Caenorhabditis elegans: one gene and its partners. The protein of the gene in region 3 purifies or fractionates together with the protein of the main gene of each other region. This does not show direct contact. Each region holds a gene or a part of one and is shown on either strand. Other genes may lie near its edges.

Region 1 (6,444 bases), on a different chromosome or scaffold from region 3:
CTCGATGCAGTAAATATAGTTGTGTTTCAGATAGTAGTAAAAATGGAAGCTACAGATAACAAGATTAACGGTAACGCCTCTGAGACTATCAAGGAAAATGGACACTCGACGAAGGGAAACGAGGACAAGAAGATATTCGTTGGTGGAATCTCGCCCGAAGTGAACAACGAAGATTTGAGCTCCCACTTCACCCAATATGGAGAAGTTGCTCAAGCTCAAGTCAAGTACGACCGGACTAACGGCCGCTCCAGAGGGTTCGCATTTGTCGAGTTCACCACTGGAGAGGGCTGTAAATTGGCCCTTGCTGCTCGCGAACAAACCATCAAGGGAAAATCTGTGAGTTCTTGTTTTTTTTCCTCGCCTACTTAAATGGCACTAAAAAGATATAAGTTCAATTGACAATAAACATATTTCTTGTTATAGGTCGAGGTAAAGCCAGCAAAATCGAGGGAAAACAAGAAGGTGTTTGTTGGAGGACTCCCATCGGACTACAGCGAGCAAGATCTTCGCTCTCATTTCGAACAATTCGGCAAGGTCGACGACATTGAATGGCCATTCGATAAGCAGACCAAGGCTCGTCGCAACTTCGCTTTTATCGTATTCGAGGAGGAGGAGTCCGCAGACAAAGCATCTTCCCAGACAAAACAGACCTTCGGAACTCGCGAATGTGACGTGAAAAAAGCAGTTCCACAAGGAAAACGGTTCCCAGGCGCCCAAGGGCGTATGCCAGGTGGTCGCGGAATGTATGGTGGACGTGGTGGAAATAACAACTCGGGATGGTATGCTGGATGGGGACAAATTGGAGCTATGCCATACGGAGCTACTGGAGCAGCTTGGGGAGACTGGTACGGAAACGGTTATTACGGCCAACAAGGTGCAGCACATCACAACAACAGCGGATCATCGCAAGGTTACGGAAGCGGATACCAGAGTTAGTTTTGTTACTATTTGATTCCATGTCTTGTGACTCATTCCACAAGGAATGCATCAGTATACTTATTCTATCAGGTTTTGCAGGAAATAACAGTGGATTCGATTACCAACAAGCTCAAGGAGCCAGACAGGGCAACAATGGCCAACCACGCTTCCAACAGCAGCCACAACAACAAACTGCTCAAGCCCAACAGTTCTAAATGTGCCTTCAGAACATCACCTCAATCACCATCTGAAATGCCTCCATCACAGTCCTCTTCAGAATTCCTGTTTCCTTCCTACCTAATCTTTCAAAAAATGTCCAAATTGTTTTGTCCTCACGCCCAGACTCAATCAAAAGCAGTTACAAATCGACCCTAAATTTCTAACGCGCGTTTTTCTTTAATTCCTTTTTTGGCAATGACGATCTGAGATGTGTTGTTCCCGAGGTTGAATTTTATATCGAACCAGTTTGTTTTGTTTCTCTGATTCTCACCCAAACTATCATCGACTCTCAACTTTTTTCCGTTGGTAATCTTTGATTTGAATAACTCCAGGAATAATAATAACATACTTTTGTTGTTTTAGATGATGTTCTTGTGAACATAATACTTTATCCACCCGCCTTTTTAGATGTGTAGAAGTACTTTATTTCCATCAGTTTTTTCAGTCATTTTTTGTTGTTTTAATTGTTTCGCTCGTTTTTTCTTTGAGCGATTCTGCGGCAGAAAACAAACTGTATTTTTACTTCTCTTCCCTAAAGTCTGTATGCTTCGCCCCCAATTTTTGTCTTTTAGTTGTTGTTATGGTGCTTTTTCCTTTGTTCAGGAACTGGTAACCAATTAGACTGTGCAATTCACTGTAGTTGTCAAGTATATTCACATTGAATTGTGCAGTTAGTTGTTAATTTCCCTCATCTCATTGAAGTGTATCTGATGAATCGTCAGGTGTCCCGTCTTCGTCTAATCTCACAACACCCAGCCACCCAACAAAAGCTTCTCCCTTTTTCTCCTTCGTTTTTTGCCAATCTCACCCGTAAATTCGCTCCCAAAAGCCCCCCCCCAACCGATTCTAATAACTGCCTCTTCGTTTGACATGTTATTTGTTGTCACATTCGTTTTTAATGTATGATAGATTCATGTCAAACATTTGTGTTGATATTAAGCTGAGAATGAAATTTTTGAGGACTAGTTGTTCTTATATTATCATTAAATTTTTATGCTTCATGAATTGAATGCGAACAGGTGGGTTGCCGTGAAAAATATCTCACTTGGGAACAATAAACTTCAATATTTAGAAGTCAATTTTCAGATAAAATATGACTTCAACTCTAGATGCGTACATGAATCGGATGGTGAACGTGGTCACTGGTGATGGTCGGGTTATCGTTGGACTTCTGAAGGTAAAATATCTAGAAAGAAATGTTGCTTCTGCACTTGGCGACAAAGGTTCGAGCCTTTGTCAAGAAATTTCAAAAATGCAGCACATCTTGATTATTATAAAACACGAGATTTTGAATCCCAACTTTGAAGAAATTGTTCAAAAAGACTGAGCTTATGTGTCGGATTAAATAATTAAATTATGTTACCTTTTAAAATTTCAATATTTTATTCAATTATACAATTTTAGGGATTCGATCAATTAATCAACTTGGTGATTGAAGATGCTCACGAAAGGTCGTATTCTGAGACGGAAGGTGTGCTCACGACACCATTGGGACTATATATTATTCGAGGAGAGAATGTGTAAGTTGAAAATTGACGGGACATAATTTAAAAATCGATTTTACCTTGTCACGGTGCTCTGCTTTTGGAATTTATAGGTTTTCTGCGACTAAAATTAGTTGTTGATGAAGAGTTTAGAAATGTCTCTTCTTGAATATCTACTTCATTTATTCCGATGAATTTTACTTCCGAGTTCCCGTACCACCCAATCCGTGGGTCAAACGATCAACAAACCCTCGAAAACATTGGACTCGGCATGCTTTTCCTTCCATTCCGTGCACATTATCGAAAAACTGACCAATTGTTTCAATTGAGTAGTGGCGGAGCCGCCTGCTTCAGCAAAGAAGCTCTTGATCATGTACGAGAGTGTTAAAAACCAAGACAGTTTTTATTGCTCAAAATCCATGGTCTTCTCTTGTTGAGAGGAGATGTTGGACTTTTAATAAAAGACCGGGTACAAATGTTGAACATTTGGAGCATTTTATCTGGATTTTTTTTTCACATCGCCCCATTAAACCTTATAAAAAGCTTCACATCGCCTTGCTTGTTGCAAATTCGCTCTATCGCCATTCTTCAATCTTTTCGAATCTAAAAACTCGTTGGTCATTATGTACTCTCTATTTCACCCGGTCTCTCTCTTCTGTTCTTTCTTTTGGAGTGCTCTACGGACCAATTGCTTCAAATGAATTATCGATTTTTTAAATTGTCGCGTTAGAATAGTTTCTCTGTGTTAAAACAGATCGACCTAATTTCAATTATCATCAAGAGTTTTTTTTTCTATTCGATTCAATCTTTTCCGATGACATTAATCATCCGTTTTTTATAATGTTGCACCCATGCGATGATAAGATTTAATTGTGGTCGTTGACTATCAGTGCTGAGAATGGAATTTTCTCGTTCAATTCACTTCAAAACGGGTCAATGTTATCATCTCAGAAACATCAAATTGATTTTACTTCATTTCTTCCAGTTGAATATTTTCTATAACGTTCCGTCGACATACCTTCGCCAGTCAACATTGAGTCATCATTTAAAAAAAAAAGAAAGGTGCAAGTAGTCCTGGTACCTGATGTTCTATAACAACCAGATCAAGTGCTTCTGTTGTTCCTTTGATCATTCAGCTTTCGGCAGCCGTCTAAAAACATAGCAACTGGTCGTTTCTTGTGCTCTGTTACGGTCGGAAACACGGAAAAGTCGGGGAAGCATGACGTGTCAAAACATCTCTTCCAATCGTTCGGCATTTTCTCGCCCTCAATCACAATTTGATGCTTGACCAATATGATTGCCCGAAGCCTTGCAGCAGCACCAGCAATTTATTTTGTTTGTACTCTTCACATTTTCGCCGGCAACAAAAAAAAACAACGAAAGAGGGAAATAGTTATAGTGAACGAGAGAACGAATACGAAAATGGACAACGCGATGGGAAAAATGTTGAAAAAGTATCCGTTTTCCTATTCTATGTCGGAGCTTCACAACTTGCTTACTAGGTTTTCAGTTTTCAGTTTTACTTTGTCGTTTCTATCTGAAAAGCGCTTATAGTTAAAACATATTCAGTTAAGTTCCAAACGAACTAAAACTTTAAAAAAAAAACTCCTCGTTGAGCGAATGCGATTGATTATTTTATTGAAGTCTCTAAATTGGCTCTTCCAGTCTCTGTTCAATACCTAATTGTTTTCTGATTAGTTTCATTATATTTATTGATTTTTCGTTTCCGATACACCACTCTTCTCTATACTCCACTCCAAATGTCAAGTGATAAATACTCATATTTCGAAATAGTTTATTTTTGGATAGGATACCCCTTCTGGCCCTATTCATGTCCCATTCAAAACACAATTTTATGAAATCTTTTCTCACTTTTCGTCAGTGTAATATAGCTGGAAAAGATTAATGTAGACATGCGTCAAATGTCCGAAACTTTCACAATTTCACACCTTTCAATTCATTCCGTTCGAACTTTGTTCAAAGAAAATGTGATTCCATGAAAAAAGTGTTCGGAACCTGTTCTGTTTCCCTCTGGAGAGGGGTGGAGAAATTATCGGAACACTTTTTCATTGCAAAAGTTGAAACTAAACTTTTAAAGCTATGATGTATATATATATAAAGACCAATTCTGCAACTACTGTAGATTTTTCCAAATGTTTCTTTTTGAAAATCTATCATTTTTCAGAGCGATTATCGGTGAAATCGATGAAGAACTCGACAAACGCGTTGATCTGGAAAATGTGAAAGCGGCCCCACTTGCACCAATTTGGATTCCCCAATAATTTCCACACAAATCGATATTCTGCATTGACGCGTTGTATTGACTGGTTATTCTCATCGTTTCCCCCCACCATTTCTTCTCCCCATTTAAATCATTTTTCCCAAACTATTCTCCATTCTTTTCTTGTTTCCTTGACGGTTTTGTATTCATACCATCGTTTCTTTACCATTTTTGGATCTCTAATTTCCTCTCAAATATTGTGAAAATTTATACATATTTATTTGCTTTGTTTTTAATAGTTAATGTATTAAATATGCATTTATTCAAATTGCAACGTCATTGTATTTTTTCGTGTTTCAACCGTTTGTTTATCGGTTTAACATTTCTTTTTTTAATATCGTTTCCTCGTTGAACTTTGCCATTTCACAGAAATAACCTTGCAGAAAATATTCCAGTGCTCGATTTCAACGGAATATACGGATCGAAGTTGCAAAATGAGCAGTATCAGAGTGAGTTAAATAGAATGGGGAAAGGATAATTTTGAACAAGAGTTTTTGCGCGTTTTTCAACTTTCCTACCAGAATAAAAGCATAAAGTAAAAATCGATAAACATTTTTTCCAGAACCAGAACGACAATCGTCGACCAACATTCCGTGATCATCGTACACCACAATTTAGCGGTCGTGGTGGTAGTGGTGGTGGCGGACGCCGTCTTCAAAATCCAGCTCATTATCCACAACGCAGAGATATGTCGCCGATTCGCAGATCTTCAGCAATTTCACCAGTCAGACGTTCACAGGATCATCGCCAACGTTCGCCTGAAGTTCGACGTCATCGATCACCGGAAAAGGAGTCAAAAGACGCAGTGGTTGGTAGATTCACACTCACACCCAAAATATCTCTATAGTAACCTCTTCTGTAATGGAATTTGTTGGATTATTGACTGAAACTTATCCTCCCCCACCGATTTCTTCGGGGGCTGTATCTTGAAACGCGACGAATCTCATCAATCTAGGTCACATCGACTGGATCTTCACGTGGAGCCACGTCAGCATCTGTCACGTCGTCATCGAGAAGGCATGAGAGTGGGGAGAGACATAGAGAGACTCATCGTAGAGAGGATAAAGAGAAGAAGCCAGAAAAATCTACGGTTTGTAACTAAAGACTAGACTCACTGAGCATTTTTAGATCCGAATTCAGTTATTTTCTACAAAAAAATATAAATAAAAACATTTGCAGGATCGTGATGCTGATCGTTCAAACAACATTGCTGCCAGAATCCAGGCTCCAGTCGTCTCATCGTCGACCCACCACCATCATAGCAACAGGCATGAAAATCGAAAGAGCACAGCAGTGGTAGGTTTATACAGAAATTCGTCAAGCTGAGTCATTGTATTCCCACTGTCACTGTAAACGTCGTCAAATAATAAAATGAGCTCTTCAGATTTATTATGCTCATTGGCTCATGTGTCACCGTGAACATAATGGATTCGAAGTTCTTCTAAACGATTCATTAACCACATGAAAATCATATATATCTATTCATTTCCCAATACTGAAAACTTGGAAATTCTTGAATTGAAAATTCCCATCCCTGTCCAA
Region 2 (4,476 bases), on a different chromosome or scaffold from region 3:
TTTCTCGATTTTTTTTTGGCTAATTTTCCGATTTTCCCGGAAAGTTTCTCGATTTTTCGGCTGATTTTTTGAATTTTTCATCCAATTTTGTGACATTTCCAATTCGAATCCGATTCCGTACCAGTTTTGAATAATTCGAGTAAATCATAAAATTGTCCATGAATATCTCCACAAATTGTGACAGGCGACGAAACGGGCACCACATTGGCTTCCAGTGATAGACGATCGATTAATCTGAAAAAATGTTCAGTTTTTGAGCCGAAAATTGCTGAAAATTGCTTTTTTCTTACGTTGCACAAAGAGCAACAGCGTCAGATTCGGGCAAGTATTTGCATTCGCTCGCCCACGTAATCCATTGCTCCGGCTCTATTTTTCGAGATCTGGAAATGAAAAAAATTAAGTTTTGTATAATTTTGGAGCTGAAATTTAAGTTTTTTTTTAGAAATTTGCAAAAAAATTCGAAATTTTTCGCAGAATTTTTCAATTTTGAGTAAAAAAAATCAATTTCCAAGCTCAAATCGCCTAATGTAGATTTACGCAGCTCGTGTACTCCCCGAGGAGAAAAATACTAGTTTTCGACTAAAATGCTAGATTTTACATTTTCGCTGTTTTTTAAAAGTTTAACGTTCAAATCGCCGATTTTTCGCTTTTTTGGTAATTTTTATGCTGAAATTCAGCATTTTTAATATGGAAAACTGCTGGAAACGATGATTTGTAGTCGATTTTCATTTAAAATAATTAAAATGACAATTTTAATGTTAAATTGGTCAAAAATTGAGCATTTTCTCCAAAAACTATAAAAATCTTCTCCTCGAGGAGTACACGAGCTGCGTAAATCGACACAAAGCGATTTGTGCTTGGAAAATCGCATTTTTCGCTTGAAATATCCAAAATTTGGTACCCAATAAAATGCGTTGTGCTCTTTTCGAGCTCTCCTTCATCGCACACTGTCACCCGAAGAAGGTTTGTGTCGATCATTCTGAAAATTTTACGGTTTTAAATGAAAAAGAAGCTTTTTTCCTGTTTAAAATTAAAAAATATATGAAAAATGGCTGAAAACCTATCGAAAAAGTGGAAAAAAGGGAATTGAAACTCAAAAATTGTTCATTCGAATCCTATAAAACGGCGGGAAAAAGTGATTGGAGTGTGATGAAATAACGGAAAAAACAGAAAAACAATAAAAATTACTAGCTATTCAAAAAAAAACTACAAAAAACCGGAAAAACATTAAAAAACCAGAGGAAAATTAAAAGAAAATTATTTAGAGACGACTCCAACTTGAGCAGGCCGAATTGGACGTTCTTTCAGGCTGTAGCCGATCTTTGTACACACTTCGATATGTCCGACAGGTTGTTTGGCCTGAAAATGGAGGAAATTAAGCATTTTGTGGCATTTAAAAAGGATTAAATAAGCCCAAATTGTTCAAAAAATACAAGATTTGGCTCTTTTATTTCGGAAAATTCGGGCGGTTAGCACTAACATTAGCAGATGGAATCTGGAAAACGGCTTCGTGGAGATTGGGGTCGAACTTTTCATTGGTTGGATCCACGGTCACAAGGCCATGCTTTGCGAATGTCTTTGCCATGACAGTACGGGTCATTGAAACTCCTTCGAAAAGATCTTTCAGAGCTTTTCCTCCCGATTCCAGATCTTCTGGCTTCACAGACTTGACGGCAATGTCGAGAATATCGGAGACCTGCAAATTTGGAATTATTTTAATTGTTTTTCGGTTGATTTTGATTTTAAAAATCGAACCTCAAGTAAATCTTTGCAGAATGATTGGATTGCAAAAACCTTAGCATCGTCGGTTTGCTTGATACCTCGCCGACGAACATTTTCAGTTTCAGCAAGCGATCTTTGATATTTATCCTTAAAATCCAAGCTTTCGGCCTGCAAATCGTCGTATTCCTTGAGAAGAACATCAAAAGCACCCTTTGGAATCTGTGTCTTGTCCTCGCCGGCAATCGAAGTAAGAACAATTTCTTCATAGTCGGCTCCTGGTTTTTTTTTAAATATTATATCAGTTTTTAGAATTTAGAATTTGTTTTAGAGTAAAAATCGCTACCTCTGAGTCTCTTTCCGTCTTTTCTAATCTCATAATTGACTTCTTCCGATGATTGTGATGCCGTGGCGCTGAATCTTTGAATGCGCAAGTTTTTCTGAGTTTTCCTGCAATGAAAAAATTTGATTTTCACCGTTATTCAAAATTCAAGGAACTTACAGCGTTTGTTGAACAGCCTGGCCGACGAAAGACACTCCTTTGCGCAGCATATTGTCTGAAATTGCCAAAATTTGAAGAAATTAGGAATAAAAAACGAAAAATCGGCGGAAATTGGTAAAAAACGAAGAAAAAATTAATAAATTTCATCATGACAAGAAATGCGCCAGCACATGACTCAAGTGCGCCAGTAACGTGCTGGCGTGATTTTCGTGCGTGTCTGCGTCTCCATGCTTTGCACACTCTTTTCGAGGAGTTTTTAAGCGGCAATTTAAAGTGGAAAAGGGCAAACTGTAGCAGTTTTTTCTTAACTTTTTCTGCAAAAATCTGTGTATTTCCGCAAAAAAACACAGCAAATCCAACAAAAAATTTATTATCAATGCTCTAAAAGCCTTAAACACAAAAAAACCAAGATTTGTCACTTCTTATGTTCGCGTTCTCCATCAAAATCTGGTCGCTTCGGTACAAATCGATATTTGACAATTTTCGAATCATCTTTTCCATCAGTCACAGGTTCCAGGTGAGCTTTCGCGAAATGCGGTGATGTGACTGGAAATCTGGAGCATCCTCTGAACGTGACGCTTTCTCTGGATTTCACGTAACTCGGCGCATGTCGGCGCTGACCTTTCCATTCTGGGGGACGCTGAAAAAAAAGTATGTATTATTGCAAGTGCGCTCCAGTAAACTGAGCGATTCCGGCTGTCACTCACTCTTAAGGCATTCAAAGCACCCGGACTTGGAATTGCATATCGAGCTGGCTGGGCTATTGGTTTTGGCACATATCTCGGAGCACTTGTGCTGGTAGATCCACTGGAAGAGCTGCTGATTGGCTCAACACGAGATCTGTAAAGAGTTGAGGAGATATCCGGCATGTCAAAATGATCTGATTTCTTCGAATTTTCGGGCGGTGCAGAGCTTCCGGTGGTTGAAGAACTACTTTGAACTTCTTTTGAATCAAATATATTGTGAAGTGCTGTGGCAATGTCGGGCATCTGCAATAATTTTCCATTTTTGCCAGTTTCATATTCAAATTACCGCCAAGAGACTTTGTTCAATAGAGCGCGCTTGCATTATTTTAATTTTTGTTTTTTTTTTCTCATCAATTCTCTGAACTTCTTCATTTTTTGTGAATTTTCACTGAAAATTTGAATGAAAAGTCAAGATAAATGCAAATTGTTCATTAGCTTTTCAAATTTTCAGTAAAAATACACAAAACATGAAGGAATTCAGTGAAATAATTAGGACAAAAAAACAAAAACAAAAAATAATGCAAGCGCGCCCCATCGAACAAATCGTCTTGGCGGATTTTTTCATTTTCAAAAGTTTTTTATTGAAAAAACCTTAAAATTTGACTTTTTTTTCCTGAAAAATTGAAAAAATCGATACTGACAGATTGGCAAAATTTCGCGGAATTTTAAGTAAATTTTTTAGCAATTTTTTTCGTTATAACTAACAGGAGATTTCTGGCTTCCGAGAGCTCCATTATCTTTCTTTTCTGACTCAAATCCTCCAATTGTACTCGAAGAACTATTCATTTCGTCCGATTCCACCACCACGTGAGATTTGTAAGGCGTTGAGGAAATATCCGGCATGTCAAAATGGGCTGATTTCTTCGAATTTTCAGGAGTTGCAGAGCTTCCAGTCTTCAAAAACGAGCTCATTCCTTCTGACTGAGCTTTGTAAGAGGCTGAGGTGAAGCCTTCTGGCTTGATATAGCGAAATTCTGGTCTCTTAATATATCCTGGAATAAGCTTCAAGTTCCTGGAGTTACTTTCCGAGCTAAAATTGAATGGTTTTCCTGAATTCACCACATATCTAACTTCTCCAGTGTTCAGCTGATCCGAAATTTGTGTTCGGCCTGGAGGGCCTGGAGATGCTGTGATGGGCTTTCTGGAGCTGCTGCTGGTGCTTTCAAAATAGAACGGCTTCCCATAGCACGCAGAACTTGTGCTGGGCTGATCAGGCTTCAGATATTTCGCTAGAGGACTTCCGAAGTCACTTGAATCTTCCCCATCCTGGGTTCTGTCAGACATCAATGAAATATCCTCTGGATTTATCAGCTTTACATCAGGCTTCTTCCTTGGTGTAGGCTTTTTGATGCCGACTTTTTTTTCGATTTTATCAATTTTCCATTTCACTTCCGACACGTCTTTCCGACTTTTCTGCAGCTCTTTCTTGAATAAATCTGCGAATTTCCACGAATTTCGAACTTGAATCGATTGGTTTGAAATTTGTGATTCTTTAGCTTTGTTCTCCTT
Region 3 (5,281 bases):
CCCAAAATTTGTCGGTACATTACATGGATAAAGAAAAGATGGTATCATTTTAAGTTATCGTACCATTAAGCCTAGTTATTTTATTAAGGCAGATAACCAGCTCAATCCAGATATTTTTATTTGGGCAGGAGGTGTAACTGCCAACTCAGAAGTCTGGGCTATGAATAAAATGCTCCAAATCACTGAAAATAGTGGAATTAAAGTCAACGACGCTTGCGAAACCTCACTTCCTAATGTTTTTGCATGTGGAGATGTTTGTGCACTGACTACCACAGAACCATCAACTCTTTGGCAACAAGTTTTATAACCATAGATTGAGTGTTAAATAAAGTTGAAATATTTTAAGAGACAATTGTGGACACAAGCACGTCAGCAAGGAGAAGTGTGTGGAAGAGCGATGGTGGCAGGCGTCGAAGAGGCTCGTATGCAGAATATGTATTTCGAACTGTTCTCGCATTGTACGACTTTTTTCGGGTTAAAGGTGAGATAAATAACAATTTGCATGGTAATTGTCGAATTTTATTTCCAAACACTCATGAAAAAAGAAAAATAAATAATACAGTCAAATTTTTTTGCGTGTAGTTGGAAACTGTTAACGATAACGAAAATTGGTAAATGAGACCACAAGAAACAGAGGTCGATAATTTAGGGGAAACAATAGGCATTTTACTCCATCAGCACAATGCCGGGTAAAACGAAGGTGGAACTCATATTTAGTTGAATGCATAGGAGGGTACATGGAATCAATTGGTTCGGCCTTCGACTGAAAATAAGAATTTTTGAATGGGCGTTGGTATATATAAACTCACTGTAGGTAGAGACATCGATCTTTTCTGGGAGCTCAGTGATGCTGATATCGAAGCGGTCTTGAACGCTGTTCAAGGTCTTGGCGTCATTCTCATCAGAAACGAAAGTGATGGCCAAACCCTTGGTTCCAAAACGACCAGCACGTGCAACTCTGTGAAGATACGAGTCGGAATCTTCTGGCATGTCGTAGTTGAACACGATGTTGACTCTTTCGATATCCATTCCACGTCCAAACAAATCGGTGGCCACCAAGATTCTCTTTTGGAAGTCTTTGAATGCTTGGTATCTTGAAAGTCGCTCTTCTTGAGCCATTTGACGATGAATGGCAATTGATGGGAAATTTTGTTCTGTGAGGAGCTGGTGGAGAGCTTCGCAACGTTTTACGGCCTTGACGAAAATGACGACTTGGTTGAACTCGAGTGCATCGAGAAGATTCAGCAAACGACGGTTCTTCTCGGCTTCCTTCAGTTTGACGTAATGTTGCTGAAGTCCGTGCAGAGTGAGCTTGGCTTCGTCGTCGACGTAGACTTCCATTGGCTGAAAAAATGTTTTAAGGTCTAGAACGGCAGCACGGTGATGAATCGGGGGCTGGAACGTGTTTTGCAGTACATGTCACGTGTTCCCGACAAGTCTTTCGACCTATTAGCAATCAGCTTCGCTGAGGCGAGCCAGCTACCTCCCCCGAGGACGATGGCTTCTGCGTGGCGAGAGGCTTAACAAGATGAGATCTGAAATCCGAGAAATCAAAAAGCGACTTCGGAATTAACGACCAACCAAGTTCTGGCCATCTCTTTCGCATCACGGAACACACATGACTAGCATTTTGGTTTGATACATGTTTTTTGTTTCAAAAAAGTGAACAGCGGTTCCGTAGGTTCCGGATCAGAGATAAAGCGTACGTCTTGCATGAATCGCTTGCAAACAGTGCGAAGCTCCTTTGGCAATGTGGCGGAGAACATCATCACTTGCTTCTGTTGTGGAGTCATCTTGACGATTTCTTGAACATCCCGACGCATATCTGAAAAAGTTCAATAATGATTCCTATATTTACAAGTATTTCTTACCAGCATCTCCGATCATCTTGTCGCACTCGTCCAGGACGAAGTACTTGACTTTGTCAAGCTTCAGCTTGCCAGAACGAGCCAGAGCCAACATTCTTCCTGGAGTTCCAACAACAATGTGTGGACAGTCATTGGCAAGGCGTTCCTCATCTTTCTTGATGGCCATTCCACCGAAAAAGACAGCTACCTTGACTCCTGGGAGATATTTGCTAAATCTCTCATACTCCTTGGAAATTTGGAATGCCAACTCGCGAGTGTGGCACATGCAAACAACAGATACCTGAAAACAATGATTTATTGAAATTTGATGTATTACTGTTTACCTCGCCATCCACTGGCTCCAGTTGTTGAAGAGTGGTGATTACAAAAACAGCGGTTTTACCCATACCGGACTTCGCTTGGCAGACAACGTCCATTCCAAGAATGGCTTGAGGAATGCACTCATGTTGTACTTCCGATGGATGTTCGAAACCGCAGTCTCCGATGGCACGAAGAATTTCTGGCTTCAAGAGGAAGTCACGAAATCCGGAAGAATGAATAGAAGCATACGTTCCTTTAGTTTTTCTGGCATCGCCTCCGCCAACTTCTGGCTGCTTGTCTTGGATCTCCTCCTGCTCCTCTTCGTAGTCAAGAAGTTGTTCCTCTTCCATTCTGAAACAAAAAAAAATAAAGGTCTTCATAAAAAGGGGCTTGAGATTAATCCTAATTTCACGAAGAAAATAGAGAATAGTGTTTAACCTATTAGAGAAAGTCACAAATAGAACAATCAAAAGAAATTTAGTAAATAACCTCACAAAAACAGATCAAAACAGGAAAATGCAGAGCGGTTGCTCCTCATGAAGAATAAACCGCGAAACGATACCCATTCGAATATTTTCGACGCGCGACGCACACGCAACGCGTCGCTTCGTATGGTCTCGCAGCGAAGTAATTAGCAATGGGCGGGTGTTCAAATACGAGAGGGGGAATGTGGCTGTAAACAGCTGTCCAGTGCACAAGACAATATTAGTAGCGAAACGATCCGAAAGATAGATGTGTGCAAAGAATCATAGAAAAACAAATGTTCTTTCAGGTGGTGTTTCTTGGAGACTACAAACCAGAGAGACAGGTGGAAGGAGAATGGAAGATTGTATTGAGGTACTGTACACTTTTTAGATTACAATGAAACATGCTCTAATATTCAGAGACGCCGATAACGATCAACTCGTTCGATGTGTAGTCGTCAAAAATAAGATTGTCGGTGCCCTTCTAATTGGCGAAACTGACATGGAGGAGACACTCGAAAATCTGATTCTCAACAAAACAGATCTAGAAGGCATTTCAGAAACATTCTTGGAGCCGGGAGTTGATCTCGATGATTATTTTGATTAGATTATTATTATACTGTATGATGTTTATACATTTTGTTGTGTTTGAATAATATTAAACCAGTTTTCTACTATCTTTTTCACATCTATACATTTTCTGCGTCTCCATCTCTTTACCACGTGGAATACACCAGTGCTAGTCGTATTCTCCTTGCTCTCTTACACTCTTTTTCTCTATCAAATGCGTTGGGACATTGTCACATTTTCATTAGGGTTCAATATAGAGCCAAGTAGTATTGATTCAGGTTCAATTTTCATACGATATAAACTACAGACACACTCGTATTATAGATATACGACATTTCCAAAATATCGCCTTTCCGAATTGCGAAGAAATACTTGTAGTAAATGATGCATCAGAAGATATAGGATCTTGTGGAAGTGCATTGAATGCATTAATAAGAACTGCTGAAAGGCTATGCTACAGGAATAATTTGACAGTACTCACAGAATCCGTCTTGCAAGACGTGAACGTGTTAATTGTTTTGGTGGTGAGTACTTTTTATTATTTCGATAAAATAGTAGAATAAAAATTATAATTAATTTCTTGGACATTGAGAAATAGCTGTAATTATAATTGTACAATGAAATAGGCATAAATACATTTTTTGTCTCAAGTTTCAATATTTACGGTGGCGTGTAGTAAAACATCTTAAAACGTGTTGAAATTTTCCATTTTTAGTCAAAAAGTGATGATAATAGAGTTTTCGCCATTCACAATTTTGGATGCCGACCAAAAAATAATAATTTCTACGAGCTTAATATTTATTGCGTTTCAACTGTATGTTTTAAACATGTTTTAGAACACTTCTGGGTTAAAACCTGCATCAATGCTCAAGATTATTCAAAAAGCCAATACATTTGAAAATTTGGGAATTTGTCAAAACGTTGTCTGAAAAAACTTTTTTAGAATGTTTTATTATGCTTTTTCGTTACTTTAGGTTTATTTAAACTGGGATTATATGAACACTCAACTATCTATAGATATGTCGCAGGGGTTACTGTTGTTGGCAGTTTTCAGAGCGATCCCCGAACACTTCAAAACGCAAAAGACAATTCAACAATAAAGGGTGGTAATGGATATGTATTTGACACTTATTTGTCAAATTCTGTCAAAAACTGTTCAAAAATTGCTGCAAATTCAACGCATACAGGGGTATGGATTGTTGGTAGCGATGCGTCATGGAAGCTCGAAAAGGAATTGAACATGTTTGATCTTCCGCAAGATTCTATAACTGGGTTTACATTTCTGGAGAAGAAGAATCAGCTTGATCATCATGGATGGTATATTGTTGATAAAGATAACAAATTGTCTGGAATGGAATTTGATGGAGAATACGCTGGGAAACATTTTGAAGAATCCAGTCATGTAATTCTCGGCTTCATATATCTTCCATTGAATGCTGCTACATTATTCTTGTCACTTTATTCGGAATTTCCAGTAGCAGCAACCACTTATCTTGGAGTAGATTCGAACGTTACACCATTGAAAGTATGTCTTGATTTACCATCTTTCACTTTTGATAGCCATGTTTCAGTTATCACTTTTCTTTGATTTTTTTCTAGCAACGTGTACTAGTGAAGAAGAATTTATCAAAAATAAGTTGGGAATTCATGAAAAAGTATCTGAGAATGTGCAAGATCGGACAAATGCAAGAAAACAAATTTTCAAGAAATTTCAAGATTTTAAAGGAAGAGTCGGTAAGTTACTGAATTGCCGTGCCTTTAAACAAATTTGAGATATTTTTTGTGCTATTAATTTATTTTGAACATTTGGGCAAAACTATAACAATATTGTGGGAAGATTACGAAACTTATGAACGGTAGCTCTTTAGTTTCGGTCGTATCGAGACCAGACATCGTATTTTGAATTAAAAATCACGAGATTCCGCAATCGGGTTGATTGAAAAAAAGCGGAAGACATCTGTTCCTCCACTGAGACCAGTTGAATTCTCACAAAAACTAGACTTTGCAATATTGTAACTTTAAACTATTTTCAGAGGTTCTGGATATAATCGAGTATCAATATAAGAAGTTTCCCGAACA
Region 4 (7,087 bases), on a different chromosome or scaffold from region 3:
TTCTGCAAGTTTTGCCAAGTAAAAATCGAAAAAAAAACCTCGAAAATGAGCTGAAAACTGCTCATTTTTTCGATTTTTCTTGTTAAAATGCAATTTTTACGCTGTTTTCCAACTTTTTTCCCAATTTTTTCCAATTTCATGTAAGATTTAGCGCTTTTAAACGTTTTTTAAAGCAGTTTTCTCCGAAAAATTGATAAAAAATCCCTCACCACAGCTTGGCGAGTGCTGCAACCCGCTGAAAATCTTTTTTCGGCGGTATTTCTGTACTAAATGCCCGTACGGTGGAGGCTGTAGCCCATCTCATCTGAAAATTTCGCGATTTTAGCCCAGAAAAATGGGTCTCGACGCGACGAAATTTTTTTTGTTAAATTCGAAAAGGTATGCGCCTTTAAAGAGTACTGTAGTTTCAAATTTTCATCAATTTTTCGGGGTTTTCGAATTTTTTTTTTTTAATTTCGAAAATGGATGAAATACTGCGATTTTTGAGCAATTTTTAACCCAAAAAGTGCAAAGTTGTGCATTTTTCAGCTCATTTTAAAGTTTTTTTAAATTTATTTTAATTCAAAAAAAAATTGTAGAAAAAACTTCAAAATTAGCTGAATTTTATTGCAAATTTTATCGATTTTTTTTATTTTTCAGAAATTTTTTTAAATCGAAAAACTGTGAAAAATTCGAAACTACAGTAGTCTTTAAAGGCGCATACCTTTTCGCATTTAACAAAAATTCCCGTCGCGTCGAGACCCAGAATGTCGTTTTTTTCGAAATATTTAGGTTCCTAAACCGGATTTTTTGGTTTTTTCTCAAAATTAAAATTTTTCAAAAAATAAAATGAGACATGCGTTTATTCTTCTCTGGAATTTTTGATTTTAAGATTTTTTGTTACTAAAAAAGAGGGGGGGGGGGGTCACAAAAAACAAAAAAAAACTGTATAAATTATCATTTTCTATAATAAAGAGCTGGGGGTGCGGGGTGATATGAGATTTTTTTTGCATTTCATTTCAGAAGCTATATAATAAATAGTGAGCAACTTTTGTTGTTGATTTCACACTGGTGTCGATTTTAAGGACAAAAAAGAGCTATGTATTCTAGTGAGTGGGAGCTGGTGTGTGTGGATAAAGTGAGTGAAAAAATGGCGCCGGGACGAAAAAAATAAGAAAAAAAAAATAGTTTTTAAAAGGGGAGCAGTGTGAAAAAATGGGGACTTTTGCTTTAAAATAATCGAAAAATAGGCAAAAAATTTTTTAAAAAAAGTGAAAAATACGTCAACCAATCAGCGATTCGCTCCGCCCATCATTCAACCAATCAGAACGCGTGGGCGGAGTTCGAAGACGCTGATTGGTCGGGGAGTTCACATTTTGGCGGGAATTATAAATTTTTCGCATTTTTTCAAAATTTCGGAATATTTGCTTTGAAAATTTTCAAAAAATCACCAAAAAAAACGAGATTTTCTGCGACCAATCAGCGATTCGCTCCGCCCATCATTCAACCAATCAGAACAGGTGGGCGGAGTTCGAAGGCGGGAATTCAAAAATTACGAGTTTAAAGTTATATTTTTCGCCATTTTTTTTTAATTTCCGAATGTTTTGCTATAAAAAAATTCAAAAAAAACAGCGACCAATCAGCGCTTCGCTACGCCCAGTTTTGGACCAATGATTGGTCCGAAAGTGGGTGGAGCGAATCGCTGATTGGTCGAAAGTCTCATTTTGGCGGGAAATTCAAAAAAAGCGGTTTTTAAGTAGAGTTTTTGATTTTTCGTGATTTTTCTTTTTTTTTCAAATTTAACATAATTTTAGAAATTTTTAAGCAAAATTCCCAAAATTCACACTACTCAAATAATCACACAGTTCATCATGGGGCAGGTGGATGGGTGGGAGGAAGCGAGAGAGAGAGAGAGAGAGAGAGAGAGAATTAGAGAAATAAGAGCGATGAAAAAAATCGGAAAAAGACTAGAATTTGAGCCCAAACACGGCCCGGTGGTCCATTTATCCATTCATTCCACGAACTTGTCCACTCTTCCTTTGCTCTTCGAGCTCTTTCTGGGCTTTTGCCTCGATTTCTCGAATATCGACCATTGTAAGGCCGTGCCATTTATCGATCCAGCAGAATACTTCCCGATGGAATTTCGAGAACAGGCGAGGGTATTGCTGAAAAATTTGGGATTTTTTTGGAGAAAAAATGGAAAAAAGCTGAATTTTCTAGAAAAAAAAACCTATTTTTCTGGGAAAGTAATGGAAAAATCCGAGATTTTTTGGCGAAAAAACCGTTTTTTTAAAGGAAAATAATGGAAAAATTATTTTTTTTTTTGGAAAAATCTGAAATAAATCTGATTTTTGAACATTTTCACGTGAATCTCAACAAAAATGTCCATTTTTCAGGTAGATTACTGGGTTAACAAAAAAAAACATTTTCGAAAATTTTACTTTATAGGATTTTATACAAAATTGCGCAGTTTTCCAGCTTTTTTTAAAATTAAAATTCAATTTTTTCGCACTTTTTGAAATTTTTATTAAATTAAGCAATGTTTTGGTTTATTTTTTTTATTTTTCATTTATAAAAATTTTCAGCGAAAAAGATGGAAAAAAATTTTTACGAAAATTGTGCATTTTTCAGCTCGATTTCTACATTTTTCGTATGCAATTTTTCGAAAACTTCTTTTTTTTTGCGGTTTTTTAAAGAAAATTTCTCCAATTTCAAGCTAATTTTTGAGATTTTTTAAATAAATTTATTAATTTATCGGGTAAAAATCCACTTTTTTGAAAATTTCCACGAGCATTTATGCGAAATTTTTCCATTTTTTCAGCTCGGTTTTCAGTTTTTTTCCGGAATTGTTCGAAATTTTGCTCGAAAATTGAAGAATGGCTGTGTAAAACCTCTTCCACTTAAATTAGAGGTTTTCTAGGTTTTCCTTTTGACTTTTTGGCAATTTTCGCGGTTTTTTCACATTCAAATTGGCAGTTTGTTAGGTTTTTAGGTGAAAACTTTATTTATCAGATTTTATTTATTTAATTTTATTTACATTTATCAGATTTTAAGTGAAAATTGTTGATTTTCACCTAAGAACCCTATAAATTGTCAATTTGAGTATGAAAAAACCACGAAAATCGAAAATTTCAGTTTTAAACTTTGAAATTCTTCTCCTCGGGGAGTACACGATCTGCGTAAATCGACATAGGGTTATTCTACAAATTTCAAACAAAAAAAAGCTCGTTTTTTGAGCATTTTCGCCCATTTTGTCGATCCACGAAATCCTCTCGTAATCTCACCGTATGCGCGTAGTTTTCGACAATTTTCTGGAATCCAAACCACTTGAAATAGACTGTAACAAGCTTGTAGGCACACATTACAGGCTGTACACTATCCTTCCAATTTCCAGATAAAGGACCGCTGAAATTTCAGATTTTTTTAATTTAAAAACTGAAAAATCTCAAGGTTTTTCCCGTACCGCCCGGTTTTTGTGCTCTGAAATTTGGATGGAGTGGAGTCTGGATGCAAATCTCCGGAATTCAAATACTCGTGATCATTTGCAATATTAATATTGACAACTTCTCGTTTCGCCAGCTCATCGCCCTTCAAACCGTGCGCATTTTCGGTCGTTCCGTTGTCCGGCAAGTGGATTGTCTCAATTTTCACATAGAAATTCTCTTTCATATAGTCTGGATTCGTGACAACCGTCTTACAGTACGGATAGGCATTCCATGCTTCTTCGTGGATAGCCAGAGAACCTTTTGGCGCGATTTTTCGCAAAATTGCCGGGACTTTCCTGAAAAAATTGATTTTTTTTCCAATTTTTTTCGCAGAATTAAAGAAGAAAATCCTACGATTGAAGATGATAAATCTTATGAGTATATTGTCCTTTCGTGAATTGTCCATTGAGCAGTGGAACATTGTCAAATGGCTCATTTTTGAGCACTTCCACACCTTCACCGCCACCCGTTTCGGCTTTTGAGGCCTCGGCCACAGACCAGAGCTGGCCTACTTGGTACTCTTCGACGGACATTGGAAGCACAACTCGGCTGAAAAAAAATTTTTTTTTTTGAAAATCTGGAAAAAATCCAATTTTTTTGGGAAAATCTGGAAAAATACGATTTTTTTTTTGAAAAAATCTGGAAAAAATCCGATTGTTTTGGGAAAAGAATGGAAAAAATCTGGAACAAATCCGATTTTAATGGAAAAATCTGGAACAAATCCGATTTTAATGGAAAAATCTGGAACAAATCCGATTTTAATGGAAAAATCTGGAAAAATACGATTTTTTTGAAAAAATCTGGAAAAAATCCGATTCTTCCGGGAAAAATCTTGAAAAAATCCGATTTTTTTGGGAAAAGAATGGAGAAATCCGATTTTTTTTTGTTGGAAAATCTGGAAAAAAACCGATTTTTTCCAGGAAAAATCAAAATTTTCGTTAAAAATAAAAAAATCACTTACTACTCCTTGATAATCATTCTTGCGAGTGTCGAATGAGGAGGAAACCACCTGAAAACTAAATTTTTTATGCTAGTTGCCATGGAAACAGCTTTACGGAAGATTAATGGGTGGAGAGCATGCGAAAATCGATTTTATTTTTGCATTTTGGAAGGTATTCGAGAAAAAGAAGAAAATTATTGCGAAATTTCGTAATTTGAAGGAAATTCACAAAGATTTTAACGATTTTTAGCGGGAAATTGAAAATTTTTGGATTTAAAAATAAAAAATTGATCGAAAAGTTAAAGGCGCACGGAGTTCCAATTGCCGATGGGTCTCGCAGCGAACTACAAAAGTTTGATAAATTTTTGAATTTTTTAAAGTTTTTTAGTAAAATTAAGTTGATTTTACCAATATTTAATATATTTTCTAACGTTTTTAAATAGAAAATGACAATATTAAATCGGAATTGGAAATTTTAACGGCGTCTCTCATGAAAAATACAAAATTCTCCCAAACAATGCGAAATCGTAGAATTATTAGTCATCATGAATAGAGAGAGAGAGAGAGGTGTTGCGAAATTTTTCTCATTTTGAAATTTCTTGAGGGAAAAATGGAAAAATCACTCAATTTTCCGTGGGAAAAGCGAAAAAAACGAATTTGAGAAGGGCAGTAATCGAAGGCGCATATAGTTTGAAGAGACTCGGGTCTCGCAGCGATCTACAGAAATTGTAATTAATTTTCAAGTTTTTAAACTTTTAAACAAATTTAAGCTATTTCTAGGTGGTTTTAAATGAAATTCTAACGATTTAATATTGAAAACTTGATTTCGAAGTGAAAATTAAGATTATTTTTAATTTCCGATTGGAATTCCGAGAGAAAAGCGAGCATAATACACGAAAAATCTTGAAATGGTTTTTAAAGGTGCATGGTCTTTGAATTGGCTCGGGTCTCGCGACGATCTACAAAAGTGTGATGAATATTTAATTTTATTGAATTTAAAATGAGTTTTCAGAAGGTTTTAACGATTTTCCGACCAATTTTCAGTGCAAAAACTGCAAAAAATGACGTGTTAAGGTCCATACACCCGCAAAAAACATAAAAACAAAGCGGAAAAAAGAAAAAAAAAAGACAGACGAAATAGATGAAGCAATAAGCGCAGCAACGAGGAGAAAATCGAATGCTTTCTGTGTTTCTGTCTCACTTGCCGACTCACTAGGCACGCGAAATGCGCAAGCATTCCTCTCGGTGACTTCGTATACTCTCTTCTCGATTAACAGCAGGGTTCGAGCCTTTCTTGGAAGAAAAAGAGGAAGAAATATTCGTTTTTTTTTCCTTTCTTTTAACGTTTTTGGAAGAAGGAAGACGGAAAAAAGATGGAAAATAGTATTAAAAATGGCCTTCCCCAAAAAAAAGAGGGCGGCGCGGCGAAAAATCGATAACACCCGGGACGGGGGGAAAACGGAGGAGAAAAAAGAGCTGGAGCAGAAACTAAATATGTCATGTTTGTGGAGTAGCGTGTGCGCTGTCAAGTTGAGAGAGAGAGGCTATATAAAGTAAAAAGTAACGACTATGGAGAGGAGCGAAATGGGTTGGAAAAACAAGTGACGGATGACATTTTCAATGGAAAATCTGAAAAAGTGTGAAGCTGGCGCGAGAATCACCATGGAAATGAGCGACAAGTTTGGGGCAGATACACATAAATCAAATTTCGACTTGCGGAAACAATATGAAATCGATTTTTTTGACTTTCCCCTATTAAATAATTAAAATTCAAAAAAAAATCGAAAAAAGCTGGGTTCAAGTGGTGCCAGGCTGTCCCATTACGGTTTGATCTACAAAAAATGCGGGAATTTTTTGCCAAAAAAAATGTGACGTCATCACGTTGTTAACCATGCGAAATCAGTTGAGAACTCTGCGTCTCTTCTCCCGCATTTTTTGTAGATCTATGTAGATCATGCCGAAAGAAGGCACTTTGACACCACGTGAATCGGTAAAGAAATGGAAAAAAAAAATCAAAATGCAGGAATTGAGACGCAGAGTTCTCAACTGATTTCGTATGGTTAGGAACGTGCTGACGTCACATATTTTTGGGCAAAAAAATCCCGCATTTTTTGTAGATCAAACCGTGATGGGACATGCTGATACTACGTGGTTATGCGCCTTTACACAGAGTACGGTACCTTTGGCCATTAAAAAGCGCCAAGAAAATTAGACTATCTGCTGAAAATCGATTTATTAACTTCCAAAAACAATAAAATCTAGAAATTGGAAGATTTTCTCTGTAACTGTAAAAATCTCGATTTTCGTCTGAAAAGTTAAAAATTGGCGATAAATTGGCTATTTAGGCTTAGGCTTAGGTTTAGTCATAGGCCTAGGCTTAAGCATAGGCTTAGGCATAGGCCTAGGCATAGACTTAGGCTCAGGCTTGGGCTATTGCTTCGGCCTAGGCCTAGGCTTAGGATTAGGCTTAGGCTAAGACTTAGGCAGATGCTGAGGCATAGGCTTAGACCTAGGCTTAGGCTTAGACTTGGGATTAGGCGTATGCTTAGGCTCAGGCTTAGGCATATGCTTAGGCTTAGCCATAGGCCTTGTGGCTTTCTGCAGGAAACTTTGCCCGATGCACCATGTTGAAAATGCCATTTTTTGTTGGATTCCCGGTGAATTCTACCCTTTTTGCGAAAAA

The links.
Region 1: the proteins of hel-1 (region 3) and lsm-8 fractionate together in Caenorhabditis elegans (co-fractionation; one large-scale study listed by BioGRID). This does not show direct contact.
Region 2: the proteins of hel-1 (region 3) and C34C12.8 fractionate together in Caenorhabditis elegans (co-fractionation; one large-scale study listed by BioGRID). This does not show direct contact.
Region 4: the proteins of hel-1 (region 3) and Y54F10AR.1 fractionate together in Caenorhabditis elegans (co-fractionation; one large-scale study listed by BioGRID). This does not show direct contact.

Annotation. Positions count from the first base shown.
Region 1 is NC_003282.8:6,324,303-6,330,746, forward strand, and holds lsm-8 (U6 snRNA-associated Sm-like protein LSm8), read left to right. Parts: upstream 1-2,223; 5' UTR 2,224-2,230; coding exon 2,231-2,314; intron 2,315-2,541; coding exon 2,542-2,657; intron 2,658-4,806; coding exon 4,807-4,903; 3' UTR 4,904-5,177; downstream 5,178-6,444. Other genes in the region: sqd-1 (RRM domain-containing protein), read left to right, coding at 43-336, 424-931, 1,009-1,133; Protein seu-1, read left to right, coding at 5,337-5,351, 5,465-5,710, 5,858-5,992, 6,082-6,198.
Region 2 is NC_003281.10:3,458,206-3,462,681, reverse strand, and holds C34C12.8 (GrpE protein homolog, mitochondrial), read right to left. Parts: upstream 2,277-4,476; 5' UTR 2,272-2,276; coding exon 2,222-2,271; intron 2,170-2,221; coding exon 2,066-2,169; intron 1,998-2,065; coding exon 1,756-1,997; intron 1,697-1,755; coding exon 1,481-1,696; intron 1,360-1,480; coding exon 1,258-1,359; 3' UTR 1,092-1,257; downstream 1-1,091. Other genes in the region: pph-6 (Serine/threonine-protein phosphatase 6 catalytic subunit), read right to left, coding at 122-234, 291-380, 902-978; C34C12.2 (Fibronectin type-III domain-containing protein), read right to left, coding at 2,637-2,861, 2,929-3,210, 3,673-4,476. UniProt on the Caenorhabditis elegans protein: Essential component of the PAM complex, a complex required for the translocation of transit peptide-containing proteins from the inner membrane into the mitochondrial matrix in an ATP-dependent manner.
Region 3 is NC_003280.10:8,326,352-8,331,632, forward strand, and holds hel-1 (Spliceosome RNA helicase DDX39B homolog), read right to left. Parts: upstream 2,520-5,281; 5' UTR 2,519-2,519; coding exon 2,192-2,518; intron 2,149-2,191; coding exon 1,872-2,148; intron 1,826-1,871; coding exon 1,707-1,825; exon of another isoform or gene 1,582-1,706; intron 1,536-1,581; exon of another isoform or gene 1,345-1,535; coding exon 810-1,344; intron 764-809; coding exon 744-763; 3' UTR 501-743; downstream 1-500. Other genes in the region: C26D10.3 (Pyridine nucleotide-disulfide oxidoreductase domain-containing protein 1), read left to right, coding at 1-41, 89-298, 347-481, 2,941-3,005, 3,053-3,239; C26D10.4 (GHMP kinase N-terminal domain-containing protein), read left to right, coding at 3,417-3,480, 3,527-3,726, 4,257-4,727, 4,774-4,936, 5,236-5,281.
Region 4 is NC_003281.10:2,571,244-2,578,330, forward strand, and holds Y54F10AR.1 (Phosphatidylinositol transfer protein N-terminal domain-containing protein), read right to left. Parts: upstream 4,443-7,087; coding exon 4,426-4,442; intron 4,014-4,425; coding exon 3,819-4,013; intron 3,761-3,818; coding exon 3,443-3,760; intron 3,385-3,442; coding exon 3,264-3,384; intron 2,145-3,263; coding exon 1,983-2,144; 3' UTR 915-1,982; downstream 1-914. Other genes in the region: Y54F10AR.2 (Mitochondrial genome maintenance exonuclease 1), read right to left, coding at 210-304.